Macaca mulatta: one gene and its partner. The main gene of each other region encodes a partner of the protein of the gene in region 2 in a complex. Links are inferred from orthologs where the notes say so. Each region holds a gene or a part of one and is shown on either strand. Other genes may lie near its edges.

What was found. Proteins that work in one complex are often made in the same cells at the same time.
Region 1: the proteins of BTK (region 2) and BIRC2 are in contact, whole or in part, in a crystal structure (PDB 6W7O), measured with the Homo sapiens proteins. The link is inferred for Macaca mulatta from reciprocal best matches to the Homo sapiens genes BTK and BIRC2. Residues at the interface, in NP_000052.1 of Homo sapiens: Leu483, Asn484, Arg487, Glu488, Tyr551, Ser557, Lys558, Arg562, Lys595, Met596, Tyr598, Glu599, Arg600, Phe601, Thr602, Glu605; in NP_001157.1 of Homo sapiens: Pro280, Ser281, Ser282, Asn301, Asp302, Asp303, Arg314, Cys315, Glu317, Ser318.

Annotation. Positions count from the first base shown.
Region 1 is NC_133419.1:103,239,126-103,242,625, forward strand, and holds part of BIRC2 (baculoviral IAP repeat-containing protein 2), read left to right. Parts: intron 1-1,359; coding exon 1,360-1,602; intron 1,603-2,793; coding exon of another isoform or gene 2,794-2,918; exon of another isoform or gene 2,919-3,233; intron 3,234-3,500. UniProt on the Homo sapiens protein: Multi-functional protein which regulates not only caspases and apoptosis, but also modulates inflammatory signaling and immunity, mitogenic kinase signaling, and cell proliferation, as well as cell invasion and metastasis.
Region 2 is NC_133426.1:108,279,399-108,283,482, forward strand, and holds the start of BTK (tyrosine-protein kinase BTK), read right to left. Parts: upstream 2,801-4,084; 5' UTR 2,786-2,800; coding exon 2,728-2,785; intron 177-2,727; exon of another isoform or gene 34-176; intron 1-33. Other genes in the region: RPL36A (large ribosomal subunit protein eL42), read left to right, coding at 3,191-3,283, 3,694-3,799, 3,981-4,048. UniProt on the Homo sapiens protein: Non-receptor tyrosine kinase indispensable for B lymphocyte development, differentiation and signaling. Binding of antigen to the B-cell antigen receptor (BCR) triggers signaling that ultimately leads to B-cell activation.

The DNA of each region.
Region 1 (3,500 bases), on a different chromosome or scaffold from region 2:
ATCCATTCCCTATTGAGAGCTATGTTGTTTTCTGGGTTTTTTTTTTCCTGCTGTAAATATTGCTGTAACGATCCTCTCATGTGTCTCTTACCTTGAACATTAAGTATTTCCTTAAGGGATGCACTTAAAAGTGAAATAGAGCTCATTCCTTGTTATTTAAGTCTTTGTTCTGGTGCCGTTTCTCCAAACAGGGATTCCACGCATATTTGAACAAGAGAGCACATTGTTGACATTGTATATTTATATGTTTATTATAACAGTTTCACAGAAGATGGCAGTAGTATCTTGAAGAATTATGTCTTTTTGTATTTTTTTCATAAAAGTATCATATGGGCTAGCATTGACTGTTAGCAGAAAATTTTTCCCTGACTACCCTATCTAAAATGTCTTCCTGCTTCCCAGTTTCTTTTAATGACCTTACACTACTTTTTTCTTCAGAGCATCTGTCACTGCCTAAAATCATATTGCTTTAATTACTTCTTAAGCCATACTTTTTCACTACGTCTTCTGGGTGAACTGATCTTCTATTTTGCTATACTTCCCATTTTTGTTTGTTATTCTCTCTACTTCAGCTATCCACTTGTCTAGACCCTGTCCATCCTTCAAGTCCAAACTCTAATGCCACTTTTCCATGAAGTCTTTGTGATTTTCCCCCACTTTCCTGGCTGGAGAAGATTATTTCTCACTTCTAAGTTTGTGTAGCATTTTGGTTTCCAGAAATGACTATACATCAGAATCATTTGGGGAAATATTTAAAAGATACAGATTCCTAATTCTTTTTTTTTTTTTTTTTGAGACGGAGTCTCGCTCTGTCGCCCAGGCTGGAGTGCAGTGGCCGGATCTCAGCTCACTGCAAGCTCCGCCTCCCGGGTTCACGCCATTCTCCTGCCTCAGCCTCCCAAGTAGCTGGGACTACAGGCGCCCGCCACCTCGCCCGGCTAGTTTTTTGTATTTTTTTAGTACAAAACTAACACGGTTTCACCGTGTTAGCCAGGATGGTCTCGATCTCCTGACCTCGTGATCCGCCCGTCTCGGCCTCCCAAAGTGCTGGGATTACAGGCTTGAGCCACCGCGCCCGGCCCAGATTCCTAATTCTTATCCTTAGATAATCTTTCATTAAGTAGGTCTAGGATGTAGCCAGAGAGGTGGGTTTTGTGAAGAGTATAGCATATTAATTGTATTCTCATTTGACCATTATGAAGTTCAGACTTTTATTGGAGTTATAGGTAATTGATGCATATAGCTCATCTCCTTTACCAGAATATGAGAGTAAAGGATGAATAAAGATTGTGCTGTGATACTTTTTTCCATAGGTTTATGTTTGTGGAATTTAATATTAGCATGTGTCTTTTCAAATAGTTATTCATTTTGGACCCGGAGAAAGTTCTTCAGAAGATGCCGTCATGATGAATACACCTGTGGTTAAATCTGCCTTGGAAATGGGCTTTAGTAGAGACCTGGTAAAACAAACAGTTCAAAGTAAAATCCTGACAACTGGAGAGAACTACAAAACAGTTAATGATATTGTATCAGCACTTCTTAATGCTGAAGATGAAAAAAGAGAAGAGGAGAAGGAAAGACAAGCTGAAGAAATGGCATCAGGTATTTGGGAATGTTAGTCACCTGCATTATTTCTCAATGGAACTCTTAGGACTGTCTCACATGTTACAGAACAACATGTTTGTTTCACATCCACTAAGTGCTGGTAGCAGTCCTCCAGTAATTTCGAAACCATCCCTCCTTTTCTACCCCTCTCTATTGCTTCTAGTTGAGAACCACTGACTGCAGCTTTTTTCTACATATTTATTTTTGGCTGAGATTCCCTGATTTATGCCAATCAGAGAATTTTAGCATAATAAGCTCTTTCTTGAGCTGTATTCCATTTCTTTCTCATACATAACAAATTTAAATTGTTTTGAGAAAGCAAGATATTAAAGTTGGATGCAGGTCTTTTTTCAACCTGTTTTTTAAGTTTCTGCAAATCATATTTTTAATATGATATTTTACTCCCTAATCCTTGCTAAATGGTCTGCATACAAAAAATAGAACTTACAATGAAATTCTGGGGCTTGATGAGAACCACCTGCCCAATCCAAGGATAACAGGAAAACTAATTTTTGTATTCGTCCAGACAGTGTTAAGTTTCGGCCCCCCAAAACAAGTATTTTGAGTAATCATTTATTCCTTCAATAAATATTTATGAGCATGAGCCCCAGTGCCAAATACTGTGCCTAATCATGGTGGTTGCTCTCAAGGAGTATATACACTAGCTGGCGAGACTAGTGTGCAGAAAACAGGGTTAAAGGGCCAGCAGAGAGGCGAAGGTTGCATATGTATTGGAGTATTGGGTTGGAAGATGCTTTCTTTTTAAGCTTGTAAGTAAAGATAGGAAATAACTTAAGAGTACATTATTGGCCGGGCGCGGTGGGTCAAGCCTGTAATCCCAGCACTTTGGGAGGCCGAGACGGGCGGATCACGAGGTCGGGAGATCAAGACCATCCAGGCTAACACGGTGAAACCCCGTCTCTACTAAAAAATACAAAAAACTAGCCGGGCGAGGTGGCGGGCGCCTGTAGTCCCAGCTACTTGGGAGGCTGAGGCAGGAGAATGGCGTAAACCCGGCAGGCAGAGCTTGCAGTGAGCTGAGATCCGGCCACTGCACTCCAGCCTGGGCGACAGAGCGAGACTCCGTCTCAAAAAAAAAAAAAAAGGGGTACATTATTGCACGACCATGTAGCAAAATGTTTAAAGTCTGGATTTCTACATTGAAACAGATTTGTGTTTAAATTGCAGCTCCAGGCCGGGCACGGTGGCTCACGCCTGTAATCCCAGCACTTTGGGAGGCCGAGACGGGCGGATCACGAGGTCAGGAAATCGAAAGGATCCTGGCTAACACGGTGAAACCCCGTCTCTACTAAAAATACAAAAAATTAGCCGGACGTGGTGGCAGGCGCCTGTAGTCCCAGCTACTCGAGAGGCTGAGGCAGGAGAATGGTGTGAACCCAGGAGGCGGAGCTTGCAGGGAGCCGAGATTGCGCCACTGCACTCCAGCCTGGGGGACAGAGCAAGACTGTCTCAAAAAAAAAAAAAATTCCAACTCCATCAGTTACTAGCTTGGCTATTTATCCAGACATCTGCTTTCTTATCTGTAAAATGGGGATCATAATAGTATGAATCCCATAAGGTTGCTGTTGGAATTAAATGAGATATTGCAAATAAAACACTTTAACACAGCTCCTAGCACATCAATTTATTTCTTTATTTATATATATATTTTTATCCATTAGGCAGATTGACTTGGGAAGTGGGAGGGACTTGGTGAAAGAAAGGGCCTAAGGAAGGTCAATTTAAGGATTGTTAAGTAGTAATGAAATCCAGCTAAGGTTATATGAAATTACTGTCACCTTAGATTTATGACTTTCTCATACTTTGTGTGGGTCGGAAGATAGTATTGAATTACAGATTTGGCAGTGTTAATAGGGGAAAGGCCAAGTAAGGAA
Region 2 (4,084 bases):
CCTTTTGCTAGTCACCCCCAATAGCTGCTCCACTCACCTGCCTGAGGATTGGTCACAGGCATTCACCTTCCCTCCTCTTTTCTTCATCTTATGTCACTTGTTGTCACATGCCCTGTCCCTTCTCAAGGTCCATCTTGGGGTGGGGACTGGGAGGTGACAGGCATCCAGTGGGAGAGCTAAACAAGAGAGAGAGAGAGAGGAGCACAAGGGAAAAGAGCAAGTAGATGTAGGCTCTTCTTCACCCTCTGCCCACGACCACTCCCCTAGCACACTCATCCATACTGACAGGAGGACTGTACTCAGATAGCACAAATGAACAGCTGAGTGTCACCTGAACAGATTCCCAATGCAATATAAGGTTCTATTCTTGGTGCTATCCTGTTCAACATTTTTGTTGATGATCTTTGAGGAAAATATAAAAAGTAGCCCAGTTAGTTTATGAATGGTGCAAGGCTCTGTGTGCTAGACTGGATGATGGAAGAGGGCAATTAGTTTCCAAAAAGATCTTGATCACCTGGTGTGAGAAGCCAAATTCCACAAAGTGTATTTTACCGGGGCTAAAGGTGATGTCTCACAACTGGGCCCCAAATTTGAACTTCAAATGACTCCAGGAGAAAGTGGAGTAGCAGTAGCATTTGTGAAAATGGTTCAGGGGTTTTTGCTGATAGTAATCAAAAGGCATGTCATATCAGTTAACATGGCTTCCAGAAAAGCCAACGTGACATTGAGGCTTCCTTACAGAAGTAAAATATCTAGACAGAGGAAGGTAACATGCCACCTACTCTGCAAAGCCAGACCACACCTAGAGTCCTGCATCCAGTTCTGAGTGCCTTATCTTAGGGGATATTAATGAGCAGGAACATGTCCAAAACAGAGAACAGCTCAAGTGATCCTCCCACCTCAGTGTCAGCATTGGTGTACAAACTTTCACTTATAGGATGTATAAGCTCTGGGGATCTAATGTACAATATAGTGACCATAGTTAATAACATTGTATTATTGAAATTTGATAAGAGAGCAGATTTTAAGTGTCCTCACCTCCTCTATGGTAACTATGGATGGTGATGAATGATAAATATGTTAATCAATTTGACTGTGGTAATCATTACACAGTGTATACACATATCAAATCATCATGTTGTACACCTTGAATATAAACAATTTTTGTTAATTAAATTTTTTTAAGTAAGCAAAAACAAGCAAAAACCCCACAAAGCCATGTAATACAGGTATGATAGAAAGAACTAAGGTTGATTAGTTCTTTCTATCATAGAGGGGCCATGTTCATGGTCTTCATATTTCTATGTTACTAACATAAACCCCTAAAGGCCAGTGAGATTGCCTAAGAATCTGGAAAGAAAAAGAAAATGCTGGAAGTTTGGCAAAGAAACTTTCAGGAAATGTAGCAGGTAGTGGTAATATTTTTATTATCTCATTCCCAGAGACCACCCAACAAAAAAGGGGGTGATCAGAGTGTCAGCTCAGGTCCCACGCATGTTTCTGGAGGGTTGTGCAAGCAAGATACCCCAGACTGTCATGGTTCGTCAGTCCCTACTCCACTGCCACCTCCTCCTGTGTCTCAGCCCAATTCTGTCTCCTCACCATCCTCTACACTGCAGATGCCCCTGCTTCCTTGGTATGATGTAGTGGTTAAGTGCAAGGCTGTAGTGTTAGACTACCTAGTATCAAATTCCAGTTCCACAAAAAAATAACAACCTGTGTGACTTCAGGTAAGTAAACTTAACATCTCTTGTGCCTTAGTGTCCTCACCTGTTAAATACTAATACTGGTACATACCTCCTGGGGTTGCTGTCAGGATTAAAAGGGGTAGTATGTAAGGTGGTTAGGAGAATGCCTGGCATATAGTGTGCTATATATATATATATATTAGCTATTATAATCACCAGGCCACAACAGCAGTATTTTATAATGTTAAAGGAACCCAGGTTCTAGAGTCAGTCTACCCAGGTTTGTATCCTAGATTCACTAAATACTGTTGACATTGGTAAAATCCTTTAACATCCTACGACCTCAATTTCTTTTTTTTTTTTTTTTTTTTTTTTTTTGAGACGGAGTCTCGCTCTGTAGCCCAGGCTGGAGTGCAGTGGCGCGATCTCGGCTCACTGCAAGCTCCGCCTCCCGGGTTCACGCCATTCTCCTGCCTCAGCCTCCCGAGTAGCTGGGACTACAGGCGCCCACAACCGCGCCCGGCTAATTTTTTGTATTTTTAGTAGAGACGGGGTTTCACCGTGGTCTCGATCTCCTGACCTTGTGATCCGCCCGCCTCGGCCTCCCAAAGTGCTGGGATTACAGGCGTGAGCCACCGCGCCCGGCCAGCGACCTCAATTTCTTAACCTGTAAAATGGGAATAATAGTACCACCTGTCTCCTAGAATTACTGTGAGAATTGTATGACACAATCTATTTAAAATGTTTAGTACCCTGCAGTCTTTCTATGCTGGACTCTCTTGAAACCTAGTATATGCCTTCTGCCAGGTCTGCAAGGAAGGGAAGAGCCACTGGATACTTTCTACTTCTAGGCTTGATGATTGCTATTACAGGAGCCGAACAATTTCATTGTCACTTTTCAGAACCTAGAGCAGCTGACTTACTCCCTCAACAGAAGGGTGCTGCTTTAACGCCAATCATTGTTCCTTTTCTTCAAAGTACTTAGTTCGTAATTGTACATTTATAAGCCTATTAGATTACTGTATCCCTTCCCCTGAACAGTGCCTGACACATAATGGGCATCTAATGACCATTTGTTGAATGGACCAACTGGCCATGTGATTGATGAACTGGAGCAATTGGCTCCCTCCAGGCCTTCATTGAATCAGCAGTTTGCTGCGAAAGGTGTTCCCAGTGACCTTGAGGTGGAACAGGAATGGAACGTGGAGGTGGAGGACCCCTCTTTTCGACCCTAGTCCTGGCTTCCCTCGGGGACGGGGAGGCCAGAGGATCTGGGAAAAACACTGCTCCCTTCACTGAACGCCACTATGTAGCAGCGTCCACCAAAAGAGATAAAGTGACGAAACGCTGCAAAGCTGCGGGGCGGAAGTTGGGGTGAGTGGACCACCCTTTAGGCGGAGTCCTTCCTTAAGCTCCCGCCCGCGGCTCGGAACTGAGTCCTCTCAGCAGCCGGAGGGCGCTGCGCCGAGCCTTACACTCTATGATTGCTCCTACCGACTCCCATGAGGAAGTGCGATCGGGAACCTCCTATATACTTCCGTTTGCGGCGCGGCTTCTTTCTTTCTTCCCGTGCCGGTATCGCTCTCGCAAGCATGGTAGGACTTGCTGGTGGGGCCGAGTAATATCCAGCGTAATCTATCCCCCCTTCGTCGCCGGTGCTGTGCCGGGATGGGTCCAGGCTCCTGTGTGGACTCGATATACCGGAGCAACCCAATTTTGCCGGGATCAACCCTAAAGGGACCGGGCTACGGGGCCAGGAATTGAAGTGATGGGTTCAAAGAGGTAGAGTTAGCCGGGGGTGGAGTTAATAAGATCTTTTCCCTCTTTGGGGCTCGACGGAGGGAGGAAGCTCTGCTTGAAGCACATGGGGCTGACCCACCCTGTAGTCAGAGTTAGCATGTAGTGAGGAGTACTCGTGGAGTGCCTTAGCTTTAGCTGGGTGAGGTAGGGCGTTGTGCCATTGTCGTCAAATAACACTGCACGTTCTGAACGGTTTCTTTACTAGGTTAACGTCCCTAAAACCCGCCGGACTTTCTGTAAGAAGTGTGGCAAGCACCAACCCCACAAAGTGACACAGTACAAGAAGGGCAAGGATTCTCTGTATGCCCAGGGTAAGATGGATTCTGCATAATTTGGTGTTAATGTGACATTTGTGTTGTAGAGTAACATACGGGTCCAGGTCTCTTCCCCCCCACGCCCGACTTGAGCGTTAATATTTCTGCTGCAAAATTAAGATAAAACCTGTAAGAATTACTTGCTGGTATTATAACAAATACCAATTCGTTTTCCCAGGAAAGCGGCGTTATGACAGGAAGCAGAGTGGCTATGGTGGGCAAACTAAGCCGATTTTCCGGAAAAAGGTGAGTGGTAATTACTATTTGACGTTTCCCACTTAA